2 linked regions of the Elephas maximus indicus genome follow. The protein of the gene in region 1 interacts with the protein of each later gene in a pairwise test. Links are inferred from orthologs where the notes say so. Each region holds a gene or a part of one and is shown on either strand. Other genes may lie near its edges.

What was found.
Region 2: the proteins of CPSF7 (region 1) and SNRNP25 interact in binary tests that used the Homo sapiens proteins (3 or more experiments, as listed by UniProt). The two-hybrid records come from large-scale screens. The link is inferred for Elephas maximus indicus from reciprocal best matches to the Homo sapiens genes CPSF7 and SNRNP25.

What each region holds. Positions count from the first base shown.
Region 1 is NC_064825.1:124,495,880-124,499,788, forward strand, and holds the start of CPSF7 (cleavage and polyadenylation specificity factor subunit 7), read right to left. Parts: upstream 2,871-3,909; 5' UTR 2,828-2,870; coding exon of another isoform or gene 2,643-2,827; exon of another isoform or gene 2,583-2,642; coding exon of another isoform or gene 2,217-2,582; intron 2,182-2,216; 5' UTR 2,127-2,181; coding exon 2,073-2,126; intron 1,732-2,072; exon of another isoform or gene 742-1,731; coding exon of another isoform or gene 674-741; intron 1-673. Other genes in the region: TMEM216 (transmembrane protein 216), read left to right, coding at 674-741; proline-rich protein HaeIII subfamily 1-like, read left to right, coding at 2,217-2,582, 2,643-2,827, 2,871-3,015; SDHAF2 (succinate dehydrogenase assembly factor 2, mitochondrial), read left to right, coding at 3,023-3,058, 3,854-3,909.
Region 2 is NC_064830.1:57,376,360-57,379,804, reverse strand, and holds SNRNP25 (U11/U12 small nuclear ribonucleoprotein 25 kDa protein), read right to left. Parts: upstream 2,626-3,445; 5' UTR 2,584-2,625; coding exon 2,542-2,583; intron 2,119-2,541; coding exon 2,028-2,118; intron 1,885-2,027; coding exon 1,779-1,884; intron 1,772-1,778; exon of another isoform or gene 1,679-1,771; coding exon of another isoform or gene 1,538-1,678; intron 1,292-1,537; coding exon 1,217-1,291; intron 801-1,216; coding exon 743-800; 3' UTR 709-742; downstream 1-708. Other genes in the region: RHBDF1 (inactive rhomboid protein 1), read left to right, coding at 1,538-1,678; POLR3K (DNA-directed RNA polymerase III subunit RPC10), read left to right, coding at 3,029-3,139.

The sequences.
Region 1 (3,909 bases):
ATCTTTCTTTCTATTCATAAATAATTGACTTTTTTTGAAATTGAGTTTTTTTTCTATGTATTTAAGGCAATTAGCAGCCACATGTAGATGACTCCACAGGTTACCCAAGGATACAACAGAAAGCTGTCATCAAAAAGTGTAATTGATGGCTAATGGTGATGGTTGCACAACACGAAAATAACTGCCACTGAATCGAACATGTAAAAAAAAGGTGAAATGGCACATTTTATGTATAGTTTTGCAATAAAAAAATAGAAAAATGTATAATGGGTAAAGTTGTGTAATGCACAGAGGTGATTACACTATTCTCTTGACTTTTGTGTATGTTTTAGAATCTCCATGTTAAAAAACCACAATGCATTAAAAAAAAAATTTAATGTAAACTTATATTAAATGAAAAAATAAAACCAAAAGCCAAACCTGTTGCTCTCAAGTTGATTACAACTCATAGCGACCCTACGGGACAGAACAGAACTGCCCCACAGGGCTTCGAAAGAGTAGCTGGTGGATTCAAGCTGCCAATCTTTCAGTTAGCAGCTAAGCTCTTAACCACCTTGCCACCAGGGCCCCAACTGAAAAAAATAGCATATATCAACTTGGCTGCCTCACTTCAAAGACAGGGCCTAACCAGGGCACTTGCCTCCTCTAATCCATTCTTTTAATCTCTTTCTAGGTTCTTATATGCACCCACTGGAAGACGACAATGGGAAGAATCAGCTCTCCCAAGTAGAATGGTGCTGAAAACAATCCAGGCAATATAGTAGTTAAGTTTTAAACACAAACTTTGGAGCATTCTTGAGATCTGGCCTCAAGATTTCAGAACTGAACTGAATATACGATTATCGTTTCAAGAGGGAGAAATCTTTTGCATAATGTTCTTCCGTATAAAAACACTGAAACCAAGAAACCAATTTAGGGTATATGAGCAAGTCTACACCTGTTTTTTAACTGGTGTGTTCAACAGCTTTCCCCCCTTCCCCTCCTTGAAACGATAAGGTTAATCAATAAAATTTGTTACACCGAAATGCCTACAGTTTTCCCAAGACCAGGGTCAAGCTACTTGTAGAAAGAAGAAAAATGCAGAACAACTGGAACTGAGATGAAATTAAATGTTAAAATATCTGTTTTATACTGTGCTTTTGCACCAGTCTGTGGGGGATTGGAGACTACACTTTTCTCCAGATGCAGTTCGAGAAAATTGCAATAAAACAGATATCAACATTGTCCTCATAAGATTACAGCCAATACAACCCCAATTTTTAAATGTGGTTAGTCTCTGAGAAGATTCACAGCCAACTGTGGCTTTCTGAGGGAGCATGTTCCACAGGTTGATCCACCATTCAATTAAGCTTGATCTTTATTTGCTCTTAAATCAAAGTTTTTAAAGTTAAGTCTAGAGGTTCAGATCAACATAAAGCAGAGCGCTGAGTAGTAGTCTTGAAGGTCTCCACAAGGGAGAAAACTTTAGACCTGTGTAAGGAAAAATACAAATTGAAAATAAGAGATTTTAATTCCCCTTGTGGAAAATTAGGAAAGAGGCTTCTCCCATTCTTTCAGAATTCACTTCAAATAAACTTGTAAAGGCAAAATCTTTGTTTTTCTGAAACGTTTGTGAACGAAGGATATTTCCTTAAGGACCTGGGAACTATCTTTTTGAAATGTATTCATCAAGAAAATGTACACCCCTACCTCGCAGTTTCCTGGAAGGAGATTAGCATAATTTTAGGTATCTTGCCGCAGAGATATTATAAAGCCAGTAATTTTGTTTTAAACATGAATGTAATGAGTTATATCCATTCAGCTACACAAAAGATTTCTTTATGCCTCGGCATCACATTCTGGTTTAACACTTATTCAACAATCAAACTTTTCTTTCTCTTCTATTTTTGTGGAGAAGTTTTCTGGATTGGGAGTAGATTTCATTTTTAGTAACTTTTTCCCAACACCAGATAGAGGAATATTCAGGCCTAGCAAGTCCCCAAGGACTGCCACTGCTTCGAACCTCCGCAAGTTTGCTGGAAGTGACTCCTAAAATGATGAGAACAATCACAATGTTCCTGATACCCCCTCACCTGGTTGAACTCTTCGTCCGCGTATATATCAATCAAGTCCACTCCTTCTGACATGGCTCCGGCAGGAAGATCTCGAGCCCGGAGAACGGAGGAAGTAAGAAAGATGCCACTGCGGTATCCAGAAAAGGGCAGAAATTAGAAGGCATGAGAGTCCCGGGATGGGAGGGCAGTGGTTGCCAACCTCCCGTCTCCAGAGACGCAGCATCCCAGCAGCCTGAGCTCGGCCCCACCCGCCCCGCCCCCGGCCTCGCGCCGCCCCCGCTCGCCCAGGCCGCCGGGGCTAGCCGCTCATCACCCTCGGACCCGAGCCGGGTTAGGCCGCGCCGGGGCCGCAGCAGCCTGGGGCTGGACGGGAAGTCCAGGCCTCGGCTCCTTAGAGGCCCTTGGACCGCGCTGCGAAGAACCGCCGCGGCGAAGCGCGCAGCCCCCGCCCGCTGCACCTGCCTAGGCCCGGGTCGGCCCCAGCGGGCCCGGCGCCGCCGCCCGGATCCGCACAGCCTCCAGCCTCCGGCTCCCCACCCGGGCCCGTCCTCGCCCTCCGGCTAGGCCCGCCCCACTGCCTCCCCACAGAGCCGGCCCGGCGCCCGCGGCCTCCTCCCGCAGAGCCCCGCGTCTTCCTCAGGCCGCCGGTTCCGGCCTCCGCAGGCTCCACCGACCCCCACCCCGCCTCGGCGTCGGCCCCGACCCCTCTTCCGGCCCAGCCGGCCCCCGGCCGCGCGCCCCCGTTACCGGGAATATGGCGGCGGCGTCGGCGAGTCCGGACTAGGCCCGAAGCGCGCGAACCTCTCTCGGCCTCAGGTCCCGCCCCCCCCCCACCGGCGCCGTCACTTCCGTCGTACGCAGGGACGCGTCTTCCGGCTCGGACCGGGAGCCGGAGTCCACGGGTTCGGTAGCCCCGGGGTTCCCGGAAGTAACCCGGCCGCAGACTTCCGGTGCGGGCTAGGCGAGATATGGCAGTGACCACCGTGTTACCGGCTCTGGCGCGGGTGAGAAGAGCGGAGGTCCTCGGGCTCCGGGCGGGCGGCAGCGGTGGCTGAGTCCTGTCCTTCTCCGCAGTCACGGCGACCGCAGGGAGGGCCCAGCAGCCCGTTAGCCAGGCCAAGGGCCGACCCAAGGGAAGAGCGATCCTGCAGTTTAGGAGATTGAGGTTACTTCCACCCTTTCGTGAGTCCACCGTGTGCTTTTCCCATAATATCCTTGACCGATTGGTCATCGTGCGAGACCCAGTTCAGATGTCATTTAGTTCCCAAGCAGAGTCAGCCCGACCGCCTCAGGGCGCTGCTTCTCCCTGTACTTAAAGTCTTCTGTAATGTCTATTATGATTTCACATCGTGTCTTGATAGTTTTGTGCCCATCTGTCCATTGGGAGCTTTTGGAGGATTAGACAGCCTTTAGAGGATCAGGGACCATGTCATCTCTGGATCTCTGTATCCTCAGTGTTTAACACAGTCAGGTGGCTGGAATAAAAAAAAAACCATAAAACCAAAACACGTGTTAAGGTCCAGTGGATTCCAACTCATAGTCACCTACAGGACAGGGTAGAACTGCCCCATGGGGTTTCCAAGGCTGTAAATTTTTACAGAAGCAGATTGCCATGTCTTTCTCCCTCCTAGCGGCTCGTCGGTTCGAACCAAGACCTTTTGGTTTGCAGCTGAGCACTTAACCGCAGTGCCACCAGGGCTCTGAACTCCATTCGATGGCAGTAGGTTTGGTTTGGAATGCACTTAGAATATGGTAAGTGTTGAGTGAATAGTAGTGACGGTAGCCCTTTTTTGTTTCAGGTGCTTGCTCTGTCAAGACGCAACCTAGCATCTCCTTTGCTCAGCATGACATCATT
Region 2 (3,445 bases), on another chromosome or scaffold:
GGCTGTGGAGGGAGGTCCTTCAGCCGGGTGGATGCACGGTGCCCTTCCTTTGGTGACTGGTAGGTGATGGTGGGGTGGGGTGCCCCAATGATGCCCTTGCCCTCAGCCCTGCTGGAGAGCCCCCATGCTTGGTCCAGCCAACAGCTGTAGTTTCAGTCCCATGCTCCCTCCTTTTCACCCAGTGAGCCCCAAGGGGCCTCTGGTCCAGCCCATATCTGTGTTACACACATTCTACCCTGGTCCCACAAACAGAAACAAAGACAGCTGCTCTGCTTGTCCCCCTTGCTGTACAGATCACGGCATGAGCAGTTTGCCATCTGGGGAACCATGCAGCCACAGGGCACAGGTGGTCACCCTGGACCTCAGGGCCCATGTGTTCCAACCCTGCTCCCTTTCTCCACCTCCCTATGGGGCAGCATTTGTACCTCCTGGCGGGGGTACTCTGGCTTTTTGACTTTCAAACTAAAAAGCAAACATTTATTTTGTATATGAGGCTGTCCTGTGGGATCCACATGTAGTCAGGTTTGGGCCTCAGGAGGGCTTCAGATCAAGTAAATGGAAGAGAAATGAGGACCTGACAGTCATGGAGCTCACATTGTTGGTTCCAGATGGGGGAGGAAGGAGGAGGCAGAGCACAACTGGGGTGAGGCTGCAACCTGCCTTTCTGTGAAGGAGACAGTGGCCAAGGGTAATGTCCTGAGGAGAAGAGTTTGTCCCCCACACCTCTGTCCTTGCTGGAGGCTCACTTTTGTCTCAGCTTTTTGATAAAGGAGACCTCATCCCGATTCCGGATGCCGTAACTGAAAGAGAAAGAAAGGTCGGATGTGTCTGATGGGCAGAAAGATACACCAGTGACTCCTACCTGGGGCCTGTGAAAAAGAAGGGAAAGAAAGGGGAGAAGAGGGGGTGGTGCCAGGGAGAAGGAGGCAGAGCGAGGAAGCGGCTCATGCTGTTCAGTGGGTGGCCCTTCCCCTCTACATGCTTACATTTCCCTCCATCTGACCTGTGCACATCCACAGGACCCTGATGTTCTCACAGTGGTGAGAGCCAGCCAGGACTGCTGTAGCCAACTCCTCTGCCTGCCCTTTTAGTGGGGATGGCTGAGATCCGGCACATAGGTGTTTTTGGGAAGCCCCTTCCTTTACGAGAGTACAGGGACTAGAGGCAGACAAGGACCAGACACCCCTCAGCAGCTCAAGATGTGGCCAGGACTTACTCTCGGAGCTTCTTCCTGTCTTCTGTGAGCTTTTCTCCCACAAAGGTCAGATAATAGGTCCTCCACACGTAGGACCTGCAAGAGGGAGACTCAGGAAACAAGGAGTTCTCTTCCTGCATGATGTGCACACCAGGCCTGAAGGAGCTACAAGGGGCACTGGTCCCAAAGGGCTGCATAGGGGTCGAACACCCTTGGCAGAAATGCACTGGTGCAGAGTAGGGGAGAGAGAGAGAGAGAGAGAGAGAGAGGGAGGGAGGGAGGGAGAGAGGGAGGGAGGGAGGGAGGGGTGGGCCCTGACCGAGCAGTGCTGTCTGTAACCAGGGAGACCATTTCATGTCACACTGGAAATGCCTAAAGGTGCCCCCAAGTGAAGAGTCAAGCAGCGGAGGCGGGACAACACAGATGAGCATGTTTAGAAAGGAGGCAGTGGCAGGAATCCATGGAAGACCTGTCTCTGCCTGAAAGAGCTCGAGACAGGGCACTCACCCCTCAGTCATGGCAGAGGACCAGAGAGCACAGGTCCAGCACGTGTGCATGCTGGCTTGGGAATTGCTCCACTCACCAGCTGATGTGCTGAATACCCCCTTCACGCTCCTGCCGCAGCTGCACATATCTTTGGATGGCCTTCTTCAGGTCCAGGACTGTGGCGTTCTGCACGACGACCACAGCTGCAGCCAGGGATACAAATGGGAGAAGACCTCAGGTCAGTGGGTACCACAGGCCAACCTCGGGGCAGGGCAGGTTCGTGGTGGCCTTGATGTCTCTGGCAGCCCTGAGAAAGCACAGTGGCAGGGAGGAGGGCATCACTTACGCATGACCTCTCCGTCCATCTTGCACACACAGACAGTCATGGCCTGGCCATACTCCAGTGCTATCTGGGAGTTGACCTCTTCCAAAGTAACCTGGAAAAGACAAAAGTGGGGTGCTCTTCTCATCATCCCAAATGACAATGAACAAAACAAGTTGACAGAGGCCAAAAAGGGGTGTCCATATTTTACGACAAGCAAGTAGAGGAAAGGATCCTTGCTTATATTAGGGCTCGCAGTTCTTCAGCACCCCGATCTCGAATTTCACCCATACTTTTCAAGTTTAAGGATCAAAGTGGACAGAGGCTCCAGTAAAAGAAGGGCACAGAAACAGGGTCGCTATGAGTCGGAACCGACTCGACGGCACCTAACAACAACAGAAATAGGCAGGAAAATGCGCCCTCCGAGGACCAGCCCTGTGCTTCCTCCAGCTCAGGGGCTGCAATATCCACACGACCTCGGGGTCCGCTCCCCGCCGCTCCTGCCCCGGCCTCGCTGGGAAAGACCCCGGCTGCGCACCTGGATCGGCAGATCGCAGAGCAGGGGGTCCTGCACCACCATGGCGAGACCCTCCTGGAACACGTCCACCACCTCCGAGTGCGGGAGCGCCTCGTCGTCGTCCTCGTCGACCTCCGACGCCTCGGGACGCGCCTCAGCCTCAGCCCCCTCCAGGGCTGCGTCCGCCGTGGGTCTCTCGCCCCGGCCAGTCGGCGAGAGGAAGACGAATTGCGTGCACAAAAGGACTGTGGACCGCAGAGCAAGCCTGGACAGCCATTGGTGCGCTTGGGGGCGGGGCGGGCCACCTTGACCAATGAGAAGTGCAAGACCGTCTGCTGCTGGGCACGCTGGGAGCGCGAGGCCAGCGTGCCTATTGGTGGCCTGAGGAGTGCCTTGCCTGGGCCAATGAGAGCTCGAGGCCGGGCGAGCGCCGGCGCCCAGCGGACGCGGAGGTTGCCGGGAATCAGGATGCTGCAGGGGCTGGCGGAATCGGGCTGATTCGCCGGCTATGCTGCTTTTCTGCCCGGGCTGCGGAAACGGGCTGATTGTGGAGGAGGGGCAGCGCTGCCACCGCTTCGCTTGCAATACCTGCCCTTACGTGCACAACATCACCCGCAAGGTGGGTCCCACCCTCACCCGCTATCCGCTCATGCCCATGTCGGCTCTGCCTTTGAGACGATCGGAGCCAGCCTCTAATCCCGTAGAACAGTCCCGGGGTTATCGCAGAAAAATGCTGGCTAGGCTCCCTGCGCAGTGTGCTCTTCACTGAGCCGAGTCAAGTCCCAGCAGTCCGTGCTCAGAAACCTCCAGTGGTTCCCGGCCGGCTGGGAGTAAAAGCAGTTCTTACAGGGCACCCCCAGGCTCTAGCCCTGACCCCGCCCGCCTGCTTCTCGGATTTCGCCTCCTCACGTCCTTCTCCCTCTCG